7 linked regions of the Cricetulus griseus genome follow. The protein of the gene in region 1 binds, or shares a complex with, the protein of each later gene. Links are inferred from orthologs where the notes say so. Each region holds a gene or a part of one and is shown in the gene's direction. Other genes may lie near its edges. The genes, in order: Nup98, Nup205, Nup160, Nup107, Cetn2, Nup153 and Nup85.

Region 1 (3,574 bases):
TCTAATCCTTGCACTAGTGAGGCAGAGGAAATGGGATCTGAGTTCAAGGACATCTTGATCTACATATTGATCTATATAGATCAATATAGCCAGTGCTATATTGTAGCCAGGTGTGGTGGTGAGACCAGCCTGGTCTACCTAGTGAGTTCTAGGACATAAGCTACATAGTGACTGTGTCTCAAGAAATCAAAAACAAAAGTAATTATTGTAAAATCGGAATATCTTCACCCTTAGTGGTTTTTATTGCTATGGAAGAAATAAGCTGTTGTTTTAGAGTCTTTTTCTCCTTGTTTCAGTTGGTGGGTTGCTGCAATCAAAATTTGTAAGTGGAGCTTTTCTTTCACCAAATGCCTCCATGCAAGAATGTCGAACTCCCAGAACATCATCTCTAATGAATGTCCCATCCACATCCCCCTGGTCTGTCCCTCTGCCACTGGCCACTGTGTTCACAGTGCCCAGCCCAGCTCCTGAGGTTCAGCTGAAAACAGTGGGGATACGCAGGCAACCAGGGCTAGTCCCTCTTGAAAAATCTGTTACATATGGCAAGGGGAAACTCCTGATGGACATGGCTCTATTCATGGGACGTTCATTTCGGGTTGGTTGGGGCCCCAACTGGACTCTTGCTAACAGTGGAGAACAACTACATGGCTCCCATGAACTGGAAAATCATCAGATTGCCGATTCTATGGAATATGGATTCCTGCCCAATCCTGTAGCTGTTAAATCGTAAGTTATGTTTCCTGGTGCTTTTTGCGAATGACATTGTAATTGGGGGCTATTCTTATTTTTTTATACTACATAACAAGTTTATCTACATTTAGGATGAATTAAATGAATATGATTACTTATTTTTGAAGGTGATTTTGGAAAAACAAAAATCAGTGTCTTGAACATCACAGTTAGGAAAATCCATTCTAAATTTAATGATTGACTCTAGATGATGATATAAGATTTTGGAGATTATTAATATCTTAAACTGCATCAAGGTCAGGCTGTCTTCTGCTCATCTGAACTTAAGAGTCTTTCTAGACATGGGGGCACATACCTGAATCCTAGCACTCAAAGATATGCAGAAATGATCACAAGTTGTAGGCTAGCCTGAGCTATATAGCAAGAATCTAAGAACCTATCTTAGAAACTCAAGTGCTAGGATATAGCCCAGTAGAATAGTGGAACCGCACTTCCCTAGCATGCCCTGGCTTCAGTCTCTAGCCCTTCATTTAAAACGAAAACAAACAAAGGAATAAGTAATCTAGAATCTGGCCATGTGTGGTGGTATACACCTATATAATCTAGTCACTTGGGCAGTGAAGCCTGGAGAATCAAAAAGTTAGTCTTTATAACTCTTGACATCAAAGTAATTGCAAATTAGGTATTCTATAATAAAGCTTTGGCCTTTGAATTTTGTAGTGTCATCACAAGCAAGTGATGAAACCACTAACTACTGATTCCCACCCACACTTGTACCTTGATCGGTGCTCTGTTGCATTACAGTTCATTCGTCTATCCTACATTTGTTCAGTGAGTTTATACATGTTGACAGTATAAATGTTTCTTACTATTTCAGTCCATCTCCAATTAGTCTTTTTAAGATTTAAGAAGCAAAAAAAGAAAGAAAGAAGTTTCCAGACACTTGGCTGTTAAAAAAAAAAAAAAAAAAAGATTTAAAAAGCTGAGGCTATAAAGGTGGCTAAGTGGCTGAGAGTATTTCCTGCTCTTCAGAGGACCCATGTTTGGTTCCCAGCACCCACATTGGGCAGTTTTGCTGTAACTCAGTGCAGGGTATCTGACACCTGCTCCTGGCCTCTTCAAGCATCATTTGCCTCAGACCACAGCTTGCACACATACACTTAAATAAAAATATATCCCAAAAATCATTTCTAAAAACAGAAATAAGCTCTGAGAGCTGCAAATATAGCTCTGTTGGAATGCTTCTTATTCTATTGGAAGTCAGCAAAGAAACAATAGCTGGTATAGGTAAATTTCACCTGTTTCTTCATTTTCTGACTCATCCGTTGTTTCTTCCAGTCTATCTGAATCCCCATTCAAAGTTCATTTGGAAAAACTCAGTTTGAGACAAAGGAAGCTGGATGAAGATCAGCAATTATACCAGACACCTCTGGAGCTCAAGTTAAAACATAGCACTGTCCATGTAGACGAGCTGTGTCCTCTCATTGTCCCCAATCCTGGAGTTTCAGTCATTCATGATTATGCAAATTGGGTTAAGGAATCACCCAGAGATTTACTGGAAATACAAAGTAAGTACTCATCATGTTGCTAACCTTTGACATCCCAGGAGTCATGTTGACAGTAGCATGTGTTTCTAGGAGACATATTCTTTATAGGTATAAGGTGACTTCCTGTGCTTAATGAATTTCTGCAACTCACCTGGGACAAGAAGAAAGAAATTATGAGTTACCATTTGTAATTATTCTTATGCAACTTAAAAGCCTTTAGTTAGATTGAAAAAGTAATAGTAGTGTCATGAGAGTAGGTGAAAAGAAACCCTTTAACTGACAAATGACAAAGACATTTAGTAACATTGCTTAAAGTTCTATGTAGGAAGTTTAGATTTGTAATTATCATTGTGTCAGGAGATCTGCATTTGTTATTTGCCCTCTATCATTATTGGCATGTGCTAACTGTGTGTGTGTGTGTCTGTCTGTCTGAACATAATTTGATCATATTCACCCTCTATTATAACTATTAATTAACTTTATCCCTTCTGTATCTCTGTTAGTCCTTTTTACACTCATGTATATCTGTCTGTCTGTTCTTTTGTTTTTTGAGACAAGGTTGCTCTATGTAGCCCTAGCTATCCTGGAACTCAATCTATAGACCAGGCTAGCCTCTAACTCTGTCTTCCAAGTACTGTTAAAGGCATATGCCACTAGCATAGATTTCCTTTCTTTTTTTTAAACTTCCTTTTTCCTAAATTCCACTTGTAAAAGAGAGCATGGGATACAGATTTGATTTGATTTTGCTTGGAGTCTGGCTTATTTTGCTTACCATCCATTTACCTGCAGATGGCCTAGTTTAATTCTTCATGATTGCTCAGTAAACCTCCACCATGTGTATCACCCACACTTTTTCTATCCATTACCTCTGTTGATTGAGATCAAGAGTGATTCTCTAACTTGGCTGTTGTAAATCATGCTGCAGTCACAGTAGGTGTTCAGATATCTCTTTATGAGTTGACTTTAATTCTTTGGGATAAGAGGTTATATGGCTAAATCACACTGTAGTTAGATTTTAATTTTTTCAGGAACCTCCATACTGGTTGCCATAGTGACTGGACTAATTTACGTTTCTAGCAACAAGTTGAAATTTCCTTTTCTCTACAAGTCATCAGCCAGTATTTGTCTTTTTTTTTTTTTTTGGTTTTGTTTTATTTTTCCTTGATGTTAATCATTCTAACTGGGGTGAAATGGAATCTCAAGGGTTTTTTTCCCCCCCCTAGTGGTTAAAGATTTTTACTTCATTTGAAAAGTGTTAGCTCATTTGCTTAGCGATTTATTGATTTGTTTGGTTTTATTACTTTTTTTCTTTTTTAGTTATTTTCTATTACATATAC
Region 2 (4,285 bases), on another chromosome or scaffold:
TTTTATCTTTAGCTTTGGCTATCTGCCCTCTCTTGACTTTTTTACATTTCCACCATCCATTCTTGCCTCTGTCAATTCTTATGGTTTCAGTACCTCGTCACCCTGTGGGATCTTGGTTGCTGAATCTGTTGCTGTGACCACTACTGCCGTTCCCTGTCACCTTTGCTTCTTTCACGGGTCTGCTGTCACCTCAACTCTCCTGTTACCAGCCCAGCATGTCATTTTAATCTTACAGATTAAAAAATAGATTTTATTTTTGAGAGAAGCCCTTTAATGGTCTTAAGGATACAACAACAAGGGGCAGTACAAAAAGGGTGTTTCCCAGATGACTTCAAAAGAGAGCCAAACAGCGGGCTTGTATAACCAGAAAGGGTATACAGTAGGGGTTTTGCACCAATCATGGCACAATACTTTATGCATATAAGTAATTATGATCGGTACCAATCACAAATCCTCCGATGAGCCAACACCAGGAAGAGTGCTCCTCCTGTAGCCTGGCTAAAAATGACTGCAGGGTCATTTAGAGTTCAATTAGAGTGGGACAGTGGTGGCACACACCTTTAATCCCAGCACTCGGGAGTCAGAGACAAGGGAATCTCTGTGAGTTCGAGGCCAGCCTGGTCTATAAAGCTACACAGAGAAATCCTGTCTCGAAAGGAAAAAAAAAAAAAAAGGTTTTGAATAATATCTCAGTGTCAGAGTACTTGATTAACATGAGCTAGTCCTAGGTCCAGTCCTTGGTACCGTAAAAATAAATAAACTCCTGTGAAAACATAGAAGTTAGCAAACTAAAATTTAGCAAGTGCGTTTAGTGATTTTGGTTGCTTAGGTAGAAAAACACTTGGTGTTTATGAAATTGTGTCTGGAATTTGCTTCAAAATAATGTTGGGGGCGAGGAAGCAAACGGGTGACATTTTTGAAATCGGGTAGATAGTGTTCATATTTTGTGGATGTCTGAACGTTTCATAAAATGCAACGTCTACACAATATACTTACTAAATAGAAATGCTGTAATAACTTCTACTCCCTCAAGGTAAGGGAGATATTCAAATAACATTTAAGTCGAAATGAAGGTAATTGTTTGTCTTTAGGAATTTTATGAAACCATAAGTGGGTGTCTCTTGAAGAACTTTTTTTTTTCTTACTATTCCACTGATGTACGTTTTCCACACCAGTCAACTTCAGGTCTCCCTGGAAATAAACTACAGGTCCCAGGATGCACTGCACGGTCCATCTCCGAGCCGGTGGCCCTCGCCTCCTTTGAACGAGAATGGTCGCCGCGAGAATCTGCGGCCGTGGGTCGGAGCAGAGTCTGGAGTCCTGCGTCCACCCGCCCGAGCGTCGCGCGCGGTGCTCAGGCGACCTCGGGGCGCCTTTCTGTTCAGGCGCCACCGCGGGCAGGCCCTGCGGCCCGGGGTCCTCCCCGCCGAGGGAGGGCTCCGCAGTCCTCCTCCAAGATGGCGGCGCTATTGGCGGTCAATTCTGGTGAGCGCGCCTGGGCGGCCGTGGGGTGTCCACGGGAGACCCGCAGGGGCCGCGGGGCGGGGCGGGGCCTGTTCGGGCGTGGGGCGGGGGAGGGAGGCCGCGCGGCGAGGCTCTTCCGAGTGCGAGCGCCACGCCTGCCGGCTCGCGCCCGGCCCGCGGCCCCGCGTCTCCGCGGTTTGAATGGCGCGCGAAGGCGCGGCTGCGGCCCGGCCCTGGAGCAGCGCTTTCCGAGCGGAGGCGGCGCGGCGGGGCCGGGGTGAGTGTGTGCGTGCGTGCGAGAGTGTGTGGGGCGCGCGGCCCGGGCCGGCTCCTTCTTCCCGCCTGGCACCCTGCGAGTGTGCGTGTGTCTGTGTGTGTGCGTGTGTCTGTGTGTGCGTGTGTGTCTGTGTGTGTGTCTCTGTGAGTGTGAGTGTGTGCGTTTGTGTACCTGTGTGTGTTTCTGTGTGTGCGCGCGCGTGTGTGTGTGTATGTGTACACTTCATTGATTTGTGACATCATATGCGTGGGCTTCATATGCGTGGGCCTCATGCGTGGGCCTACCCTTCGTGTGTGTGTGCGCGCGCGTTTGTGCGTGTGTGTGTCTGTGTGCGTGTGTGTCTGTGTGTGCGTGTGTATACCTGTGTGTGTTTCTGTGTGTGTGTGTGTGTGTGTGTACACTTCATTGATTTGTAACATTATATGCGTGGGCCTCATATGCGTGGGCCTACCCTTCGTGTGTGTTCGCGTTTGTGCGTGTGTCTCTGTGTGTGTGTGTGTGTGTGTGTGTGTGTGTGTGTACACTTCATTGATTTGTGACATCATATGTGTGGGTGTACCCTTTGTGTGTGTGTGTGTGTGTGTGTGTGTGTACACTTCATTGATTTGTAACATTATATGCGTGGGCCTCATATGCGTGGGCCTACCCTTCGTGTGCGTGCGAGTTTGTGCGTGTGTCTCTGTGTGTGTGTGTGTGTGTGTACACTTCATTGATTTGTGACATCATATGTGTGGGTGTACCCTGTGTGTGTGTGTGTGTGTGTGTGTGTGTACACTTCATTGATTTGTGACATCATATGTGTGGGTGTACCCTTTGTGTGTGTGTGTGTGTGTGTGTGTATGTGTACACTTCATTGATTTGTGACATCATATGTGTGGGTGTACCCTTTGTGTGTGTGTGTGCTCCCGTGTGCACTGCATTGATTTGTGACATCATATCATGCTTGCCCCCCACAAGTAGATACATAATATACCACTAAAACTTTTTAGAGCCTTGGCTTCCGTGTTGTAGCTGTGTTACATGCACTTTTGGCATATAATATCCCTATGTTAAACTGAACCATTGAGGGAAAGAAGCCGTTGTCAGTACTCCCAGGAGTACACATTGTACAAGAGAGCTTTAATTGGCAGCAAGAAAAGCAAGCATTTAAAAAAGCCAGGAGCCAAGAGAGTTATTTTCTTTTTATTTGTCATCTTTGGGAAGAGCTTAAGCATTTATAGATGAATGGATGGATAAACGAAACATGATGTGCACACAAAGGACTAACTTCAGTATTAAAAAGAAAATCTTGTCACGTGATACACGGAAGACCTTTGAGGACTTTAAGTGAAATACAACACATACACAACAACAACAAAACAACTACACTTACCAAGTGTAGCTACTGTAAAAACAACAACAAAAAAGTAGAATTAGAACGGCAGTTGCCAGCGGCTAGAAAAGTGAGAGATGATAGTGATATTTAAGGAATAGAAAGTTTCAGATAAAAAAAAAAGTGTGTGTGTTGGGGGGTACTCTTATGATGTAGCCTGGGCAGCTCAGAATAGCCTTAGAGCATCACATCCCTCCCTCAGCCTCTCATGTGCTGCGTGGTTGGTAGTTACAGGCATGCACCTCCAGGCCTGCCTTGGCATTTCACTTTTGCAAGATTAAAAAGGTAACACTGTGTTGGTTGTAACACCTGTGTGAATATGCTTAATGCTGCTGTTCACAAGAATAGTTAAGTAGCTATTGTTTGCCATGTTTTCTATTATTTCTGTAGTCACAACAACTTAAGTGGTGTGGAAGGAGAAAAGGAGGGTTGATGACTATAGAGTTTTTTTATACCTGTTGGGTATAACTGGCTTACACTGTTGTGACCTATCATGCCCACCAAGTAGTTACATTCCTAAGCTTGTAAGCAGCTAGTGACACTGCTAGACAACCTGGCCACCCCTGCTTAATTCACAGTGGGGACTATTTCATACCCTTTCCACTTCTCAAACCTCTACCCTCCAATGGACCTAGAGAAAGAAAAAGCGAGCAGCATCTATCTTTTCACTCTCGTGTCTGAAAATCTAGATACTTCTGCACATCGCTTCCTCCTGCGACCTTGCCAGTGGTAAATCTCACCCTTTATGCCCTTCCTCTGTTACTCTCTGTTTCATGTGGCTTCCTCCTGCTCCATTTTCCCAGCAACCTGTCTTTGCTTTCATCTCATGTTCACTTATTTACCATGCTCTTGCTTTTCTTCATTGTCAAACCTTGTAGGGGATTGTCAGTATGCATTCACTGGCTCCCTTTCCACACTTCCTAGTGTTGCCAGCATTTAGTCTGTTCTTATCCTCCTAAACAGCTCTAGTTAGGGTTCTGTGTTCTGTAGTTCACCAAGTTTAGCAGATGTTTTATATTGTGTGTAGAGTCCAGAAAAGGGCATTAGAGTCACTGGAGCTGGAGCTCCAGGTAGTTGTGAGCCTGATATGGGTGCTGGAAACCTAACTTGGACTCTTTGTAAGAGCAGCACTCTTAGCCACTGACCCATCCCTGCAGCCTCAAATTTAGCAG
Region 3 (3,574 bases), on another chromosome or scaffold:
TGCCAGGATAGGCTCCAAAGCTGCACAGAGAAACCCTGTCTCAGAGAAAGAAAGAAAGAAAGAAAGAAAGAAAGAAAGAAAGAAAGAAAGAAAGAAAGAAAGAAAGAAAGATACCTTGCAGAATTGTATAAAGTGGCAGGCAGTATCTGTGATAGGTATAATGGGCAGCGCAGGCAGTAGAGGTGATTAGAATTATGAATTTAAATTCAGACATAATGACTGTCGACAGAACATTTTGGCTCCCTTGTTGTGACTTGGATTTAAATTAAGCGCCCTCCTTCCCCTCCCACACATGCTGCTGCCAGTTGCATTTGTGTCTTATCAGACAGAATCTATTGAGTGTCAGTTCTGATTCAGATACTTCTCTAGGTCTGCAGATATCCAAGTAAACATGGAAGTTACCTCTACACTCAAAGTACTTATTGCCATTTATTCAGAAGCTCTCCTTGAAGAGTAATAGTGCTCAACATGCAGCTATTTTTATATTTTTAAGAATATTAATATTGACCTTTACACAGCAAGAGCAAAACTCATAAAATTGCTATTTTTAAAATATGCTAAAAAGTAATAGAAAGAGAAATGTGCTTATTTATTGTTTGTTTGGTGCTGTAATGTGCATGGATACCTCGTTCCTGAACAAGTGATGGGTGGAGTTAATTTTTATGTAGTAGAATTTACCTTTTGTTTTTGTTTTTCAGGACAGGGTTTCTTTGTGTAGTTTTGGAACCTGTCCTGGAACTCATTCTGTACACCAGTTTGGCCTTGAACTCACAGAGATCCATCTGCCTCTGTCACCCAAGAGCTGGGATTAAAGGCGTGAGCCACCATCAACCAGCAGTAAAATTTATCTTAAGTAAAGTAGGGACTAAGAAAATGGGATGTATATTTAACGTTGCTGTAATGATATTTAGATTTTGTTACACTGTTTTCCTAAGTCTACATAACTTGTCCTTAAATGGAAAAGTGGTCTGAGCCAGACATGGTGGTGCACTCCTTTAATCCCAGCTCTCAGGAAAACAGAGGCCGGTAGATCTCTGAGTTGGAGGCTAGCCTGGTCTATGTAGTGAGTTCAGGGCAGGCAAGGCTATGCAGAGAGACCTAGTCTCAAAAAGAGAGAGAAGAAAAGTTACCCAAATTGTCTAATCTTTTCAAATTTGGAGAGTTCATTAAGGCACTATTATCGTCTATTTTATTGCGGTAGTCATTGAGAAAGAAAAACTTTAATTAAATCTCTCTTTTAACAGGAAGACTTCTGGGGATACATTGGAGCTGGTGGAGGAATCACTGGACATAAATTTGTTGAATAATGCAGTTCGCCTAAAATTCCAAAATTGCAGCATCTTACCCAGTGGAGTTCATGTCTCTGAAACTCAGAATCATGTGATAATCTTGATATTAACCAATCAGACAGTGCACAGGTTAATTTTACCACACCCTTCCCGTATGTACAGAAGTGTAAGTTGATTGTTGTGTGCAATAACTTGTTTCCTATATTATGCTAGCTATCACAGATTTAGGACTGGAATGATATCTTTGAAATGGAAAGAATTTGGATTCCTTGTTAACCAATCATTCTTTATAGTTATTGTTTGAAATAATTAGGCTTGGGGATGTTATTCAGTCATAGAGTATTTGCCTCTCATGAACAAAGCCCTGAGTTCTGTCCTCATAAGTCTAGCTTGTGCTTGTAATCCTGCTACTGAGGAGATGGAAAGAGAAAGATAGAAGTTCAGGATCATCCTAGAGTTCAAGGCCATCTTGTGCTTCATGAGGCCCTGTCTCAACAACAAAAAGATTAAACATTCAAGTTGATAAAATAGTTTTCTTTCTTTAAAAAGGATAGTTTTCATTAGGTACTACAGTATACATCTGTAAGCCATTAACAGGGAGGCTGAGGTAGGAGGATTTAAGTCTCAGAGCAATCTCAGCTGTACAGAGGAGGTTCCTGGCCAACCTGGGCTACATAGTGACAGCCTGACTAGCAGGGACGGGGGGAAGGTTTTTTGTTTGTTTGTTTTGTTTTTAAAGACAGGGTTTCTCTTTGTAGCTTTGGAGCCTGTTCTGGAACTCACTTTGTAGACCAGGCTGGTGCCTAACTCGAAGAGATCCAATGCCTGCCTCTGTTTCCCAAGTGTTGGGATTAAAGGCATGTGCCACCACTGCCTGGCAGGGAGGAAGCTTCATCTCATGCTCAACAATTTTTTTTGGAACATTTGTTTTTATACCTATGAGTGTTTTGCCTGTATGCATATAGATATACCAGATACATGCAGTGCCTTTGGGGGGCAGAGGGCATCATATCCCCTGGACCTGGAGTTACAGGCAGTTGTGAGCTACCATGTGAGTGCTGGGAACAAAACCCAAGTCCTCTCTAAGAGCCACAGGTGCTCTTAACCACTGAGCCATCCTTCCAACCCATCAATATCTTTTTAAATAAACATTTTTAGTAATTGAGAGGAACTCAACAAAATTCAGGTTATTTCAAAACAGATTCTTTTTCATTACAGGAGCTGGTAACTGAAAGTCAAATGCAGTCAATATTTACTGACATTGGAAAAGTTGATTTCAGAGATCCTTGCAACTATCAGTTAATTCCAACAGTACCTGGACTGTCCCCAAGTTCTACCACCTCTGCAGCCTGGCTTAGCAGTGATGGGGAGGCTCTGTTTGCTCTTCCGTCTGCTGCTGGCGGCATCTTTGTTCTTAAACTACCTCCTTATGACTTACCTGGTAAGAATGGGAAAGGAGCATGAATTTATCTTTAGTTGTCAATGTTGACATTAAAACAGGCATTCCATCACATCCATTGTCAGTGTAGGGGTTGAGTCTGCATTTTTCCTGCTTTCATTATTTCTTGCTTGGTCCCTGCTGCATACCTTTATTCAGTGGATGAGGAACTAGATGGGATGCTGGGTATGGGAAACAGATTACATGTATATTAGCCTATTCTAAGTTCAATAGTAGACATAAATTATTAGTTGTTCCACCCTCATACTGAAGTACTGTATTTACAGAGAATGAATTTTGGGACCAAGTTTGACAACTGATCCCTGTTCCAAGTCACCACTGTCTCTTGCCTACATTATTGGATTAATGTCCTAAATGTCTCCAGATCTGCCCTCCCATTTCAGGAACTTCCCAGGCAGATTGATATAGTAAACATTGGTTAGGGGAGACTAGAGAGATAGCTCAGCAGTTAAAAGCACTGCCTGCTCTTCCAGAGGACCCGGGTTCTATTCCAAGTACTCATATACCAGCTCATAACTGTCTGTAATTCCAGTTCTACTGGATCTGATGCCCTCTTCTGGACTTCAAGGGCATCAAAGTGTCATGCTTATATATTTGCATGCAAAACACCCATACACATAAAAAGCAAAATCATGTTACTTCAGTGTTCATCATGATCTGAATAAACCCAGTCTCCATACATTGGCTCACAGTGAGTGCCCCGTTGTCATCTCTAACCTCATTAGTTCATTCTTTTCCCTTGCTCTGTATACCAGCTACATGCCCCTTTGTGGTTCTTTTTTTGTTTTTCTCAAGACAGGGTTCCCTTTGCAATTTCTTGAAGACA
Region 4 (4,084 bases), on another chromosome or scaffold:
TTGTTTGTTTGCTTTTTAACTATTCCATGAGCTCTTGATACCCTTCCAGTACTTTTTTTTTTTTTTGCTTAAGTTAGACATTTCTGTCATGGTGGCCAAGCACCCTAAACAAAAAGCTAGTATGTATACAATATACACCCATACAGGAGTTTATTTCACAGAAATTTAAAGTAATCAAATGTGTATCATTTAAATATTTTAGGGTGCATTTTGATGTTGATGTCTGTAAGTTAAAGGGGTCAGATATGGTCCAGTGGGCAAGAACAGTAAAGAAAGTAAACATGACCATTCCATTAGGGGTAACATTTTGTTATGGGTAAGGAAGAGAAATGATCCAGAGGCAAAACTGGAAGAGTCCAGAGCAGAGAGAAAGAGAAACAGACTATGGACAGGCCTAGGGAAGATGGGGTAGTCAAGATAGCCAAAGATAGAGTTTAATGACAGGACAGCAAAGAATAGAAATTATTTGGGGGTGGGGGTTGGAAGGAGGACAAATAGCTATCAAGGAGGACCCCATTTGAGGATGGAAAACCTCAAGTTCCAGAGGGATGCTGGCTTTTATCTAACAGCCAGAAATCCTATGGTTCAGGTTGAGCTCATGTGGAGGGCCTGAGACCTAACACTCTGAGATGCTGGAACAGGTTAAGTCTCTCCATGCTTAAAACTTTTGAAAAATATTATATATATATATATATATATATATATATATATATATATTTGGTTAGGATCTTATTCTTAGTCCAGCCTGGCTTCAAACTCATGGTGATCCTCCTGCCTCAGCCTCCCAAATGTTGGTATTACAGGAGTGAGCCCATGTGGCATTTATGCACTGCTTTTAATTTTTAAAAAGACGGCTGAATCTGTAAAGGGAAAATAAATAACAATGATAGAAAACAACTAACCCGCCCACTGAGGCTACACCACAAGCGCCCGAGACAGGCCCGTGTCTGTGGAGTGTTGCGGGATGCCAAGGAGGAACGCCAAGGCGGACTCCATCGGAACCCCAGTTTAGCCACTTCTGGCTTCTCAGCAGGACGCCCCACCCAGACCACGCCCACAAAGGCCGCTCGGGGCTCCGCGCCAAGCCCCGCCCCTTCCCGCCCCCTCCCAGCCTAGCTGGCACCGCCCAGTCACGCAGGCACGCCCTGGCACACTTTGGCGCCTGCGCCTACTCGGTCGACGATAACTGCGCATGCGCCAAGTAGGAACACTTTCTCCGTTCCCAGTACTTTTCGCAGGGGCTGGCTGAATCAGGGGCATGCTTCCGGGTCGAAGGGTTTACTTCCGGAGAGCGGGAAGGCTGAAACGCGGTGGCGGCATTGCGGGCAGATTTGCGAGGTTCTAGCTGGCGGAGGCCGCAGCCATGGACAGGTGAGTCCTGGGGACGGCTGGGCCAAGACTTGTGGCTCTCGCCGGTTGGCGGGACGACGTGGTGAAAGCGGAGGAGGAGCCGAGGGTTGTACGTTCACTCCTTCCTTCTCCCTACCTGGGATTTGTTGGAGGAAAGGCCACTTGGTATGGGGGCAGCCAGGATGCAGAGGATGCAGATCCCCGCGTTCCACGCCCCGGCTCCGGGGTCTGTTGGGCGCTCTCTCGCCGCCGTTCGCCCCGAAGTGGGCGGGGTAGGTAGGTAGTGGCGGCCCGGCATTCGAAATGCTAAAGTGAGCAGGCAGTCCGAGGTCACTGCCGGTGAGCAATACTTGACATCTCAGTACTTTGCAAAGTGGCTTTATCGTGGCTATTAATACATTTCAGTTGTACGTTAGTACACTGTGATCAGCTTAACTTGAAGAGCCAGCACCAGGTAGCTGATTTTTCTCATGTAATCTGGTGATTATGCTCGCCTGGGACAAGGATGGGTTGGTTATTCCAGTCGCTTGGCATCGAGGAACCGATTGTGTAGTGAAGAGAGCCAAGCAGGGTAATACTGTGTTATACTGTTCTGCGGGAAAATAAACAGAGGGGACGTTAAATTCCCCGTCACAGGTGTGTCAGGGAAACCTGTCAAAGGTAACTTGCTAGCTGGTACTCCTGGTAGAAAGGTTTAAGGTTTGGCTGTTGGAGTGACCTGTCCTTTGACTGACTCAGGGTCCTTTGCTCTAACTGCAGTGATAAAGTTGTTTTCGTAAATGCTGCCCAAAAGCTTAATTACACTATTTTAGGAGTGGCTTTGTGGAGATGCCATCCCCTGTGATCCGGGAGGCAGAAGTGACAAGGACTGCAAGGAAGCAAAGTGCTCAAAAAAGAGTTTTAAGTATCCTTTGTGTTTTAAGAATTACACAAATTGCAGAATGCTTTGAATCAATGTTGCAGGATTTTCTTTGAGTCATTAGACATTAACTGTGGTAAAAATTGGCTTATTACCTCCATGGGTATTTTACTTGGATACACACTCTGGATGAACTTCAGTGAGGTTAAGATTTCTGTTTCTCTGGTTCCCTACTAGTATGTCATGGTGCTAACTAGTAGTCAGTACATATTATCTAACTCTGATCTGAGAGTTTAATTGACCGAAGGAATTAACTACTATGTACACAGGAAACGTGGTAGCTGTAAAATGCTTTGTTCTTGACAAAAATGTATTCATGCATCTTGTGTAGTAAATCTATTGTTATCGTTAGTAATTTTTTTTTCTCAACATGGAAAGCTTTCCTTAATTCTTCCCAAAGTTCAGGCCAACCAAGATGAAAATTTTGGTAATACTACACCAAGAAGCCAAATTATTCTTCGAACTCCGAGCTCATTTCGACAGCCTTGTAAGATTTTTGTTTCTGCTTTTAAAGTATTTAATAGAGTAGTAGTCATAATATCAGCTAACATTTATATAATTTGCATAATGAAATATGTGGCAACAGTATCAGGAACTAAGCATAGATAATAATGGTTATAGTTATCTGAACTCTTATGAATAAGGACTGTACTTTATATTAATACATAGTAATGGTGACATACTGTTAGTTCTCCAAACTAGAAGGTGGACTTGGAGGAGCCAGTGGGAGTGAGTGGGTGCTGTTATTTAGACATTGAAAACAGAGTTCAAATAACAGTCTGGTTTGCTTTAAAGTCCAGGCCCACTACACTCACTGTATGCCTCATTGTGCTCTCTGAAATCAGACAATGAAGGATCTGCTGACTGGTGCCACCTTGGTTGTTTTAATTTTAAGTCTGTGCAGTTAACATTTATATTGAAAGTATCTTTTATAGTAAAAAAAATTTAGTAGTAGTATGATAAGCTCAACTTTAGAAAAATAAGCTAATTCTTCCATAACATAAACATTTTAAAGTGTTTGATCTGAATCTAAATAATTGAAAATTGAGAAATTGTTCTTTCATATGTAAGTGTGGGTGTTTCATGTTCATGTGTATGTAGATGCATGAATATATACATGTTCCTGATGAGTGTCTGGAGGAGTGTGCGTGTGCCTGTGTGTGTGTACATGCACATATGTGTGCACACGTGTCTCCAGGTGAACCTTGGGTGTTAGTCCTTGGGAGCCTTTAAGACAGTTTCCCATTAGGACCTAGGGCTTTCTGATTAGTCTAGACTCTCAGGGTCTCCTGTGTCCTCTCCCTGGCACTAGGATTACAAGTGTGCACCTCTGTTCCAGAGTGTCTTACTAGATGCTAGGGATCAAACTCAGGTCCTCACACTTGTACCACAAGCACTGTACTGGTGGAGTCATCTCCCCCATACCCGGGAAAATATATTTGTTGCTGGTCTACTTGCTCTGTGTTTACAGTTCCTGGCCTTTCACTTGTTACCCCACCAAGCCGAAGCTTACTAAGACACCCAGATATTTCCTGCATTCTCGGAACGGAAGGGAAGTCTCCCCGGCACACACAGTCTTCTGGGTTCTTGGGAAATCTATCCATGGTATGTAGAAATAAATAATGCACTTAAGTATTTGGCTTAAAAGCCTTTTAATGCGCCGGGCGTTGGTGGCGCACGCCTTTAATCCCAGCTCCCAGCACTCGGGAGGCAGAGACAGGTGAATCTCTGTGAGTTCAAGGCCAGCCTGGTCTCCAGAGTGAGTGCCAGGATAGGCTCCAAAGCTACACAGAGAAACCCTGTCTCAAAAAAAAA
Region 5 (4,158 bases), on another chromosome or scaffold:
AAACAATGACAAAAAAATTATACACATCTGTGACAAAAATTCTCAAAGAATTAATCAAAATATTGTATTTTTTCAAAGTTCATGGGGCTGGGTAAGGTCAATGCAGGAAGAGTTTATCAGTCATGAAAGCAGTGTCTTGGGTGGGAGTTAGCCAGGGATGAGGAGGTGTGTACCAGTGTGGGTATGATAGGAGGAGTTGCATGCCAGGGAGACTTTGGTGATAAATCCAGCTCATAATGTTGATGAAGGGCTGGGAAGAAGCCGAAAAAAAGAAAAGACACTTCAAAGGCAGAACTGAGAGAATCCAGGGGCTGGGTATGGGGGATTGCTGCTAGAGGGAACAGAGTGGTCGAATGGGATACAAAAGTTTTGAATCTGGTTCATGGCTCCAAGGAAGGAAGGTAAACGGCCTACATTACATTTATAGTATGCTGTTAAGTTTCTCTGGCCTTTGTCAGTTTGAGAAACTGATGCTATGGCATTAATGTCCCCAAACTAATATTCTATGCCTTGAGGGAAGCATGTGTGATGGTTGAGGTACTGCTGTAGCTGACCGTGGACCTCCATTATTTCTGGAACAGTTCCAGGTAACACCACCCCCCCCCCTGCACACATTTCTGTTTAATGCTCTATGCATCCAACATTTCCAAAATCCCTGTAGCTTTTCTTTGAAGGAAGTTTCATCCAGGAATGGTCCTTCTCATGTGACTTTTGTGTCTGCACGTTCTAAAAGGGCACATTCTGATGACTTTTCTAGACCCAGAAAGTCCCCAGTTCATCATCTTGAGAACTACATTCACAAAGACTCGCCTGCATTGAGTTTCTAAGTCCCAGCCCCGTGAACCGCTGATACAACAGTCAGCATGCCCACTCCCCTTTCTAGGCCTCAGCTGCCCCAAATAGTCACCCCTGCAACCCGTTAGGCCAAATCTTTCCTGGCCCCATAGATAGTCTGTGTTCCCATCTCGGGTTTTACCATATCCCACCCATTCTCTCTCATTGTCTCCCGGCTCTTTTGCTCACACGCAGCAGCCTCCATGAGCAAGGCCGCAACTCTTACCCGGTTTAGGCACTCTTGCAGTCGACTTCAGCTTGTTAGCAACCTGCAACCAGCGAACTTCAACCCAAGACCAGACACCCTTTTCTACGGAGAGGTATGGGCCCATGATCAGCCGAGCTTCCTTCCTCACGTTGATTGGTCTAGCGCGGGTCCGGCGCAGCCAGTTGACGCTCACAGCGCGATTTTGTCCAATGAGATCGTCAGTCCTTGCCGCCACCACACTGCCCTCTTACCCTGGGGCGGACCTTGCCAGGTTAGCCCCACCTTCTCCGTCCGCAAACCAATGGGAAGCGGGTCGCGCGCGCGCAGAGCAGTGGGAAAGGCGCCGAGGCCGCGAGTACGCGTTGCCTTAACAACCGGTCGCGGAGGAGTCCATTCGGCGATGGTAAGTGCTGGGCGTTCCATGGACCCTGCGTAGTGCCTCCGAGCCCTTCCTAGGCCTCATTGCGGCCCTGCAGCCTTTCCTGCATTCTTCTTCGCTTTGGCGTACTAGTTCTTCCTTGGAGCTCTATGCCGGAAGGGTAGGAGAAAAAGTACAGCCTCTGGCCGCTAGCCTGCCTGCGCTTCAACACTTAACCCTCCCCGCCCCCAGTCACCTTCAGTCACCCCTAATCTGCCTGTTGATCTCTGCTGGTTTTCCTGGAACCACAGGTGACCATTCTGTTGCAGGTAACACTCAGGCTTCCCACAGACTCAGACCTCAGACAGACACAGGCGTCCTGGCCGCTGCCACCTGCTAAAGTTTATGCGTGGTACTAAGAGATTTACTATGTTCTGATGGTCACAAATGTATTGAGGCTTTCAGGAGATGCTTTGAGCTTCGCAGACAAGGCACCAAGTGCTAAATGGATTGGGAACTAGCATCCTAAGTTGATGTTTTAAGTACATGTCTAGAACTCAGATCCCCAGATTCACAGACAGTTGATATCTGTTAAGTATGCATAATTAGTTTCTCACCTAGCTTTCTTTCAGGATGAAAAATAAGGGGTTTCCTGGCCTCTAAAATCAATATTTTTTAAAGAGTCAGAGGTTCATAGAAACATTAATTGTTCTTTCCAGGAAACTTCCTTATTGCTCAATTTATTAGGCAGATCTTTAGAATCAGTTGGTATAAATTATTTTTCCATTAATCAGCTGTCTGAGTTAGCAGTGGCATTAGAACAAGGAGGGATCTTTTTTTTCATCTTTGGTAATGAAAACTTAAACCACACCGTGTTGCTTTAATTGAATATACAATATAGAAATTTGTGACAATCTATTCATAATAAAATTATAAGTTTATTACTTACAAACAGATATGGTCTCAAATTTGCTGTTTACTAGCTTTAGAAAAGAAGGAGAAAATGCAAGCATGTTGAACCTTTAGGTAAACATGTTATTCTCATTCAAAGAGTTTTTAATGTTGCTTTTTTTTTTGTTTTTTTTTCGAGACAGGGTTTCTCTGTGTAGCTTTGGAGTCTATCCTGGCACTCGCTCTGGAGACCAGGCTGGTCTCGAACTCACAGAGATCCACCTGCCTCTGCCTCCCGAGTGCTGGGATTAAAGGCATACGCCACCAACGCCTGGCTAATGTTGCTTCTTTATATTTAAAAGTTTTTGATTTAAGAAATCTTGATTTAAAAAATTTAATTTTCTAAAGTGACATGTCTATTAAAGGTACAAATGAATACACTATCTGTAGTATAAACTTGAAGACAGTGGAGGCCAGAATTATATCCTGTGATGAAAAACTGGTCATGTTAACACCAGAAATTCATATTCATATATTCATTTGCTCTATGTTGATCTATACAGGGACAAGGAGAAAAATGTTAATATATTATTTTAAAATGAAAAGTCCCTTCAGGCTGCTGGCTCCCCAGTGAAATATAATTGGATTTAATCATGTGAGACATTACATTATTAACAGAAATGATGTTTTAATTTACAGTTATGGTAGAACACAGTCATTTAATTAGTGTATTGCTGATTTTCTGTTTTTTACAATGTGATACTAAAAGCTAAAATATACTTATTAAAGGGGTTTTAAATTAAAGAGAGTTTTTCTATTTTTCTTCTCAGGATTTTTTTTAGAGTTGGGGTTAATTTTACTTAGTTTGAACCCTTGTTATTTGTGTAAGGGAGAAGGGGACTCAGTCTGAGCATGAAGGTCAGAGAACAACTTGGAAGAGTTGATTCTCTCTACCATGTAGGTGCTGGGTTCTCACTTATGTTGTCAGGCTTGGCAGCAAGACATCTCACCAGCTTATGAAAGTTTATAGAATGACATGTACATTACTCAGAGTGGAGCATAAATGAAAAATTTATGAATGTCTAGAACTGTCATAAATAAAATATGGACTATGGCTTATAATACTGTGCTTCTGTGTTTGTATAATGTCTGAAGGCCTCTACTTTTAAGAAGACAAACATGGCATCCAGTGGCCAGAGAAAAAGAATGAGCCCTAAGCCTGAACTGACTGAAGAACAGAAACAGGAAATCCGGGAAGCTTTTGATCTCTTTGATGCTGATGGAACTGGAACTATAGACATCAAGGAACTAAAGGCAAGCTGCACACATTCCTGTTTTGGTGCCTTGTGTTTCCTTGTTGTTTGTCTTTTACCTATCACCTTTCTCCCTGTAAAAAGTAACAGAAAAAGGTACCCTGTGTATATTTAACCTGAAACAATGATCTAATGATAAAAGTTGATTGCAAATATCAATTAAATCAGCTTTACAGTGTTCCCTAATCATTTTCACCATTTTGTTATTATCATCAATAGCCATTTTTGCGTCTACATCATTTATATGTGTTTATTTAGATGATCCTGTTTTCGTTGTAGGTTGCAATGAGGGCTCTGGGCTTTGAACCTAAGAAAGAAGAAATCAAAAAGATGATAAGTGAAATTGATAAGGAAGGGACAGGAAAAATGAACTTCAGTGACTTTTTGACAGTGATGACTCAGAAAATGGTAAGTTAGTTGAGATAATGAGCATACTTCCCATCCATAATGGTAGATACATGGGAATCTAGACATAAAAAGAACTTCATCCAATAAAATCTATACCATTCACATGATTGAGCATTGTATTTATAATTAAGAGGATCCCTAATTTT
Region 6 (3,574 bases), about 170 Mb from region 1:
GCAGACACAGTACTGTATACAAAATAAATAAATCTTTAAAAAAAGTCTTGAGGAAAGAGCTCATGCTTTTCTGTTTTAATTGAACCAAATACCCATGGTTGGAATGGGATACCTACAGATCTAATTTTGAGAAATACAGCTGTAATTGAATGTGCAGAATGGGGCACATTATATATGTCTTAATGTCATTTGGACACCTTATAGTTGATGCATGCTGTCAGGGAAAAATCTTATGTTGAATTTTAGTTTACAAACAATTACCGATAATGAGTGAAAGTGAGGAACATAGAGAGTAAATATAGTTTAACTCTAAGAAATCAGGTAATTTGGGGAACTAGAAGGGGATACAAAAGCCCATTAAAAAGCTAAAGAAGGAAAAAAACTAGAGAAGGTTGTTGAAGTAAAGCCTTTTGCTTATGGAATAGTAGAAAGAGCATCATCTAGCTCATTATTGTAATGGGGTTTCCCAGAGCAGTGTTAAGGATGGACAGCTGCATCTGTAAGTGACTTTGAAATTGAATGATATAGGGAAACACTAAAACATTGACATAATGGTTCCTGTGTATAAAATAAGACACTGAGACTGGAGAGAAGGGCTCGGTAGCCATGCATGCTGTTCTTTAAAGATGATACAAGTTTGGTTCCCTGTGCTCATTTCAGGTGGCTCAAAACCACCAGTAGTACACACCACACACAGAGTTAAAATTTAAGATAGACATTGACCTTAAAAATGGAAGTTGGCCATTAATCAGTGGTAAAAGGAACACTCTCCAAGGCTTGTGCAAAACCCGGGGTTTTATCACGAGCACTAAACAGTGCTCTACAAATGAAATAACCTTGAATCATTGTGTAACTAGCCAAATTTGATCACACATAAAAGCAAAATGTAGCTATTTTCAGGCATGCAAAGATTGTAAATTGGACATGTTACTTGGAAACAATGAATAATAATCAACCCTAAAGTTGGAAATTCACATAATGGTAAGTTGTTTTTTCCTACTTGATATTTACTTGGAAATTTAAGAACAACCTACAAAGAAAATCAGAATTAAAATTATCATTGAAATGGGAAAAAAATGAGATGCTCTAATCATATTTGACCATGAACTCTTAATTTCACCTGTAGCAGTTGCCCATCCCATCTCTTGTGTACTGTTGGAGCTGAGATACTGGGAAAGTAGAAAGGAAAGTTTGTCAGATTGTAAACTCATCATTACCGTGTAAAAATCAGAAGGTGTCCTCTAAGTTGGTAGTCAGTAGTTGTACAGCATTTACATGACTTGTATTTTTTAATTATTCTAATTTACAATGGTGGTAATGCTGAGTAAATGCAGGAACATAGAAGATGAACTCATTCATGGGAAAAGTATTTTGTTCCCTTCATTTCAGTTCTTAGTTTTTGTATATCTTGTGAAGCTAAGTTACTTCAGCAGTTTGTAGGGAAAGTGAATGAACAAGGAATTTGAGAAGCATGCAGTGACAGCAAAGGGAATAGATGCACACATTGTTAATTTAGGGTTCCACAGAGTGTACTAGGTAGCAAGGGTTAGCAAGTGCTGAAGGGAAGTCAGTGCTGTGAGGAGGTTGATTTGTCGATTTGTTGATGTGGATAAAGTTAGGGTGCTGCTGCTATAATATGACAAACTGTACAGTCAAAACACATAAAAGTGCATCTAGCTTCTACTGTATGAATTTCTCCTTCCTCCTCCCTCCTCCTCCCTTCTCCCTCCCTCCCTCCCTCCCTTCCCTAATATGAGTTCTCTAACTGCATGTATGCCTTCATGACAGAAGGCATCAGATCCCACTAGAGATGGTTGTGAGCCACCATGTGGTTGCTGGGAATTAACTCAGGACCTCTGGAAAGAGCAGCCAGTGTTCTTAACCACTGAGCCATCTCTCCAACCCAACTGAATTTGGTTTCTGAATACAGTATCAAGTTAGATTTGGATGTGAGGCACTGTGTATTTCACATTAAATTTATATGCATAGACTTGTTATTTGAAAGTTGAAGGTCTTTGTATAAAGAGAAAACCCATAAACCATAAAAGATACACACTTTGATATTTTAAAGTGTTAGTAGATGTTTATTTGATGAGTCAGACTGTATAAAAATAATCTTAATTTATATTATAGAAAAAAATTGTTAGGCAATTTGTTTTTAAGGTTTATGTTTGTTTCTCAATTATTATTTTGCAGATCAAGGTGCAGCCAAGCCAGTTTTTAGCTTCTTGAACAGCAGTTCCTCTAGTTCAAGTGCACCAGCAGCCACTTCATCCAGTGGTGGCATATTTGGTAGTTCCACCTCTTCCTCCAACCCTCCTGTGGCAGCCTTTGTGTTTGGCCAGGCCAGCAATCCTGTCAGCAGCTCTGCCTTTGGTAACTCTGCAGAGTCCAGTACATCTCAGTCCTTGTTATTCCCTCAAGATAGCAAGCCAGCCACCACATCCAGCACTGGCTCAGCTGCCCCTCCCTTTGTGTTTGGATCAGGAGCCAGCAGCAACAGCACTGCATCATCGGGGTTCAGTTTCGGAGCTACCACATCAAGCTCTTCAGGTACTTTAGTAATAGGAGGGGGAAAAGTGGATTTTGTAGTTGAATTGGATTTGCTATAAGTGTGCCAGTTGTAGCACATTCTTGCAGGTTCTAATCTGTCTCGGGTGCCTTGAGTGCCTCAAAGTCACCTACATGTAGGATGTTGCAAGTTTCCACCTGTGGAGAAATAGCAGTTTATGTTCAGGTTATATATGCGTTAACTCTCAAGAACAGTTCTTTCAAGCTGGGCTTGGTAGTACACGCCTTAAATCCCAGCACTCAGGAGACAGAGGCAAGTAGATCTCTGTTACTTGAAGGCCAGCCTGGTCTGCAGAATAGGTTCCAGGACAGCCAAAGCCACACAGAAAAACACTGCCTCAAAAGGGCGGGGGAGGGAGAGTCGGGGGAGGGAGAGGAGAGAGAAAAGAAAACCTAATTTCAGGAAGAATATATAATTTTTCTAAGTTGCTTTTTGGATTGTCAAATTCCTAAGCAGCCAGATAGTGATAGTGGTGATAGTGATATATGTGAGCTCTCTCATACAGTGTACCCAGAGGAAGCCTTATATGCTGCATCATTTTAGGAAGGAATTGTTGAACCTAAGTACTAAGTAAGTTCCAGACTAGCCCTGTCTTAAGTACATTCCTCCTCCTAGTAGAAGATTGTTGGTTGCAATAGTGGAGAGTTTGTTATTTGAAGTTTTTGTTAAATTAGTGTATGTTTTAGTAAATAGTGTCATTGGTCTAATCATCAAAGCTTATGATCAAGGTAAGAGTCTGAAAAATGGCCTGAAATTGGCTTGTGGGTTTACAGAGCTTTTCAGGAGTAATCTCACTACAAACCTGGATGTTGTTGATTTAAGTGTTTCTTGGCCTCCAGGATCCTCCTTTGTATTTGGCACTGGACATTCAGCACCATCTGCCAGTCCAGCATTTGGTGCTAACCCGACCCCAACATTTGGACAAAGTCAAGGTGCCAGCCAACCTAACCCTCCAAGCTTTGGCTCTATATCATCTTCAACATCGTTGTTTTCTGCTGGTTC
Region 7 (4,367 bases), on another chromosome or scaffold:
AGGGTTTCTCTGGGTAACAGCCCTTGCTATCTTGGAACTCATTTTACAGACCAGACTAGCCTTCAACTCACAGAGATCTGCCTGCTTCTACCTCCCACCCCCCACCCCCCCACCCCCAACAAGTGCTAGGACTAGTGTGTGCCACCACTGGGCTCCCTTTATTTTAAATTTATTTTTATTATTTTTGCGTGTAACTGGCTGGGCTGTGGTGACAAACGCCTTTAATCCCAGCACTCAGGAGGCAGAGGCAGGAGGATCTTTGTGAGTTCAAGGCCAGCCTGGTCTACAGAGCAAGTTCTAATACAGGCTCCAAAGCTACATAGAAAACCGGTCTTGAACCCCCTTTTCTCCCACCCCAAATGTATATACTGTTGGAGTCAGTGATTATAATGACACTGTGAAACTTTTGGAAAAGGTAGCAAAATACATGTGGTAAATCGTTATGTTTTTCGTAACGATTAATTTATATTTTTTAAATTAAATATAAATGCTGGGCGTTGGTGGCGCATGCCTTCAATCCCAGCACTCAGGAGGCAGAGGCAGGTGGATCTCTGTGAGTTCGAAACCAGCCTGGTCTCCAGAGCCAGTTCCAGGACAGCCTCCAAAGCCACAGAGAAACCCTGTCTCGAAAAACAAAATGAGTTATTCATTTAAAATACAAATTACAGTAAATTTAATATTTTAAACAATTATTTCATTGTGTGTATACCAGTGTTTTCCCTGCGTGTCTGTGTCCCGCGTCTGTCTGTCTGTCTGGCGAAGCGGGCATGGGATCTGTTGTTTTACATGAACCGGGATCCTCGGAGGAGCAGCCAGGGCGCTTTACCCAGGGACCCAACACTCCAGCCCCGTAAATGTTAACAACATTAGGGCTGATTTCCGCGACAAGGATTTGGGCGAAATTTTGACGGCCAAGGGATTTTCCTTTATTTCCTGGACACCTTGTGGGGCTGCTGGTCTTCTGAGACGGTCTCACTGAGCCGTGGTGTGAGCTCACCCTCCGGCCGGGCCCGGACCCCGGGGTTCCCGTCTCCACTTCCCCGGCGCCGGGACTGCCGCTTGGCCCCCTTCCCGTTCCGTGCCCTGTTGCAGGTGTTAGTCGGCCGTTCTGAGCGAGCGCAGAAGAACGGCGGTCGGCGCGGGGCCGGGAAGCCCTGACAGCGCAGATGAGCAGGGAGCGCCCGCCGCCCCGCGGGAAGAGCGCGCGTTTCCCAAGAAGCCAACCGGAGACGCGTTCCGGAGGACCGCGCATGCGCGCCCCCTCCCGGCCGCCGTCTCTCCCGCCATCTCCGGGGGCCTTCTCCCTGCCAGGTGTGGGAGTGCCCTCGGCGCCGCCTGATTCGGTGGGAGCCTTCCGTGAGGACGGGTGGCCCCTTGCGCGGTTTTTCCTGAGGCGTTGTCCCCGGCAGGGTGGTGGTGTATGAATGGGCGGCTGCAGAGGGCTGGGTGGCGGCTGAGAAGCAGGGCTCTGCTGCGTTGGGTTGCGCAGGCGCTGCGGAAGCCGCCCTGGTGGGGTCCTCTTTGGCAGCTGGCTGTGAGCGGGAGGCCTGAGCGGAGAGCGGCGGCGGCGGCGCGGCGAGGTCCGGTCCGCTGTGCCCCAGCGCAATGGAGGAGCTCGATTGCGAGCCCGCAATAACTGTAAGGGCGCCCGCGAGAGCCAGGCTTGCTTGTCGCATTGTGAGGCTGCGCTTCTTGGGTCACTACAGGCTTGCCTTCCCTCCGAGCCGCGGGACGCACGCACGCTTCTGCCCGGGACGCGGCGGCACCGTCCCGGGTGTCAGATGAACGGGGAGCTGGGTGGGGGCGGTGATGGTCCCCAGGCTTCAGCTCAGCTCCCGGGACTTCTCCGCGGGCCCCGGAGGCCCCACTGCATCCCCTGCCGTTCTGATCTTTCTGTTTGTCTAGTTCTCCTCCGCGGGCGTTGGAGCGAGCTCGGTGTAAGTCCCACATCGCCGCTCTGAGAGCTCAGTTAGCGTCGCCCTCTCCTGTGGTGCTGGCCCGAGGCTTAATAGATACCTCATTTGTTCTCTCTGGAGACTGTGGGGCTGCCAGTTTCCGTCGATTTGGATTCTATTCGCTTGGACTTGTAAAAATATTTTTAAGAACGTGTGTGCGTCGGATACCACCTGAGCTAGAGTTACAGGTGTTTTTTAGCCGGGAACCGAACTCTAGTCCTTTGCAAGAACCCTAAACACAGTTAGCCTCGGGAGCCCCCTCTCCAGCACCGTTTTGTCAAATGTGGATAATCTGTGATAAGTTCTTAGCCAGGTATTATGATGCCCCTGCCTAAGCCCAGGACTTTGGACCCTGAGGCTGGGGACTCATCACTTGAGGCTAGCTTGGTAATTAGGTTGCAAGACCATTCTCCAAAAGCAAGGGCATAACCCCAGCACTTGGGAAGTGGATGGGAGAAACTGGGCCCTTGTTTACAAAAACAAAAACAAAAAAAAAACCCGGTGGGAGCAAGTGGTACTTGTATCTCCTGTTTTTTTGTCTGTCTTGTGAATAAATTATCCTTTTAATTTTTTTTTAATCGGTGTTTTGCCAGTGTGTATGTTTGTGTGAGGGTGTGGAATCCTGTAGTTACTGACTGTTGTGAGCTGCCATGTGGGTGCTGGGAATTGAACCCTGGTCCTCTGGAAAGAACAGTTAGTCCTCTTAACCGATGAGTCATCTCGTAGGCACGTGAATAAATTATCTTTTAGGGGAGAAGTTTTTCTTCTTGGTTCTTGTTTGTGGGTTTAAGTGATTGAATAGCCCATATCTGTATGGCTTGGATAGTTAGATCTGATCCAAGGTTCAAAGGGATTGGTATAAACTGGAGAGAAACATTTAGACTCATGGTTTGCAGAGGTGGCACAGGCTGATGGGAGTTTGTTTTAACATAGTTAAGTATTTTTGTTGTTTTCCCCTTTCGGTAGCCTAGGCTTGCCTTGAATTTAGTGATGCTCCTGCCTCAGGCTCCTAAGTACTGGGATACAGGTGTGTTCTGCCACTCTGGGCTTTGCTTCTTGAGAGAGAAGTGACAAACTGGATTGGGGTACCCAGTCAGACTGCCTTGCTTATGTAGGGACTGTCTTAATGTGCGTTGGCATTTTGCCTATATGTATATCTGTATGAGGGTGTTGGGTCCCCTGAAACTGGAGTTACAGATAGTTGTGAGCTGCCAAGTGGGTGCTGGGATTGAACCTGGGTCTTCTGGAAGATCAGTCAGGGCTGACTTTCCTTTCCTCCTTTTTGGTCTTTTGAGACAGGGTTTCTCTTTGTAGCCCTGGCTATCCTGCTGTGTAGACCAGGCTGACCTGGTACTCAGAGACCCACCTGCCGCTGCTCCCCGAGTGCTCACAGTGCCCAGCCTGATGATTACACATGGATGGAGAAGAAAACCCCTTCTAGGATAACAGTTCTGTGCTTTATGTTTTACTAGTGGATTCCAGGCGTGAATTCCAAAAAGAAGCAAATGTGTTTTGACTGGGGTCCCGGGGAGATGCTCCTGTGTGAAACTTCCTTCAGCAAAAAAGGTAGTTTGTTCTTGTTCATTTTGTCTTTGCACATTTGTTGACTACCTGGGGGCAGAAACAGTAGTTATTTGGCAACATTTTTATTTTTGAAACTTTTTGTTTTGTAATTTTGAGATAGGGTCCCCTAATATAGTTATAGTGCGGCTTGAATTTGTATAGTCTTGCTATGTAGCCCAAGTTTGTTTTGAATTCTACATCTTCCCCCCTCAGCTTCCAGTGTGCTGGGATTTGAGGTGTGAACTGCTACACTTGATGTGAAAATGTTTTAAATTTATTTTCTGTGTATGAGTATTTTGCTACATGCATATTAATTCACTACTTGTGTGTTTGGTGCCTGCAGAGGCCAAAGAAGGGCATTGGATCCCAGGAATTAGAGTTACATATGTGAGCTGCCATGTGAGGTGTTGGGAGTTGAACCTAGATCCTCTGGAAGAGCAGCCTATACTCTGTAACTAGAAGTTTCTCTTCTGCCTGCTGGTTCCCCAATAACCCACCTGCAGGCTTAATTTTTATTAATTATAAACTGTATGGCCTAATTCCTTAGGCTTTTATTAACTAGCTCTTACAACTAAATTAACCCATTTCTCTTTTTTTTTTTTTTTTTTTTTCTTTCGAGACAGGGTTTCTCTGTGTAGCTTTGGAGCCTATCCTGGCACTCACTCTGGAGACCAGGCTGGCCTCGAACTCACAGAGATCCACCTGCCTCTGCCTCCTGAGTGCTGGGATTAAAGGCGTGCGCCACCAACGCCCAGCAAATTAACCTATTTCTATTAGTCTATATTTTACCACAAGGCTCCTGGCTTGTTAGCTCACATCTTGCTTCCCCTGTGGCTGCTGGCCTCTCCC

Evidence for each region.
Region 2: Nup98 (region 1) and Nup205 share a complex: the UniProt entries of both Homo sapiens proteins name them as parts of the nuclear pore complex. The link is inferred for Cricetulus griseus from reciprocal best matches to the Homo sapiens genes NUP98 and NUP205.
Region 3: Nup98 (region 1) and Nup160 share a complex: the UniProt entries of both Homo sapiens proteins name them as parts of the nuclear pore complex. The link is inferred for Cricetulus griseus from reciprocal best matches to the Homo sapiens genes NUP98 and NUP160.
Region 4: Nup98 (region 1) and Nup107 share a complex: the UniProt entries of both Homo sapiens proteins name them as parts of the nuclear pore complex. The link is inferred for Cricetulus griseus from reciprocal best matches to the Homo sapiens genes NUP98 and NUP107.
Region 5: Nup98 (region 1) and Cetn2 share a complex: the UniProt entries of both Homo sapiens proteins name them as parts of the nuclear pore complex. The link is inferred for Cricetulus griseus from reciprocal best matches to the Homo sapiens genes NUP98 and CETN2.
Region 6: Nup98 (region 1) and Nup153 share a complex: the UniProt entries of both Homo sapiens proteins name them as parts of the nuclear pore complex. The link is inferred for Cricetulus griseus from reciprocal best matches to the Homo sapiens genes NUP98 and NUP153.
Region 7: Nup98 (region 1) and Nup85 share a complex: the UniProt entries of both Homo sapiens proteins name them as parts of the nuclear pore complex. The link is inferred for Cricetulus griseus from reciprocal best matches to the Homo sapiens genes NUP98 and NUP85.

The regions. Positions count from the first base shown.
Region 1 is NC_048596.1:97,239,822-97,243,395, forward strand, and holds part of Nup98 (nuclear pore complex protein Nup98-Nup96), read left to right. Parts: intron 1-296; coding exon 297-726; intron 727-2,028; coding exon 2,029-2,258; intron 2,259-3,574. UniProt on the Homo sapiens protein: Plays a role in the nuclear pore complex (NPC) assembly and/or maintenance. NUP98 and NUP96 are involved in the bidirectional transport across the NPC. May anchor NUP153 and TPR to the NPC.
Region 2 is NW_023276806.1:192,769,098-192,773,382, reverse strand, and holds the start of Nup205 (nuclear pore complex protein Nup205), read left to right. Parts: upstream 1-1,457; coding exon 1,458-1,485; intron 1,486-4,285. UniProt on the Homo sapiens protein: Plays a role in the nuclear pore complex (NPC) assembly and/or maintenance. May anchor NUP62 and other nucleoporins, but not NUP153 and TPR, to the NPC.
Region 3 is NC_048599.1:86,086,699-86,090,272, reverse strand, and holds part of Nup160 (nuclear pore complex protein Nup160), read left to right. Parts: intron 1-1,244; coding exon 1,245-1,455; intron 1,456-2,507; coding exon 2,508-2,730; intron 2,731-3,574. UniProt on the Homo sapiens protein: Functions as a component of the nuclear pore complex (NPC). Involved in poly(A)+ RNA transport.
Region 4 is NW_023276806.1:138,571,376-138,575,459, forward strand, and holds the start of Nup107 (nuclear pore complex protein Nup107), read left to right. Parts: upstream 1-1,216; 5' UTR 1,217-1,363; coding exon 1,364-1,371; intron 1,372-2,162; coding exon 2,163-2,254; intron 2,255-2,669; coding exon 2,670-2,756; coding exon of another isoform or gene 2,757-2,781; intron 2,782-3,740; coding exon 3,741-3,874; intron 3,875-4,084. UniProt on the Homo sapiens protein: Plays a role in the nuclear pore complex (NPC) assembly and/or maintenance. Required for the assembly of peripheral proteins into the NPC. May anchor NUP62 to the NPC. Involved in nephrogenesis.
Region 5 is NC_048604.1:2,887,028-2,891,185, forward strand, and holds the start of Cetn2 (centrin-2), read left to right. Parts: upstream 1-1,298; 5' UTR 1,299-1,343; coding exon 1,344-1,445; intron 1,446-1,450; exon of another isoform or gene 1,451-1,581; intron 1,582-1,600; exon of another isoform or gene 1,601-1,729; intron 1,730-3,446; coding exon 3,447-3,605; intron 3,606-3,883; coding exon 3,884-4,012; intron 4,013-4,158. UniProt on the Homo sapiens protein: Plays a fundamental role in microtubule organizing center structure and function. Required for centriole duplication and correct spindle formation. Has a role in regulating cytokinesis and genome stability via cooperation with CALM1 and CCP110.
Region 6 is NC_048596.1:266,381,810-266,385,383, reverse strand, and holds part of Nup153 (nuclear pore complex protein Nup153), read left to right. Parts: intron 1-2,196; coding exon 2,197-2,553; intron 2,554-3,411; coding exon 3,412-3,574. UniProt on the Homo sapiens protein: Component of the nuclear pore complex (NPC), a complex required for the trafficking across the nuclear envelope. Functions as a scaffolding element in the nuclear phase of the NPC essential for normal nucleocytoplasmic transport of proteins and mRNAs.
Region 7 is NC_048600.1:128,156,115-128,160,481, forward strand, and holds the start of Nup85 (nuclear pore complex protein Nup85), read left to right. Parts: upstream 1-1,493; 5' UTR 1,494-1,605; coding exon 1,606-1,638; intron 1,639-3,427; coding exon 3,428-3,521; intron 3,522-4,367. UniProt on the Homo sapiens protein: Essential component of the nuclear pore complex (NPC) that seems to be required for NPC assembly and maintenance. As part of the NPC Nup107-160 subcomplex plays a role in RNA export and in tethering NUP96/Nup98 and NUP153 to the nucleus.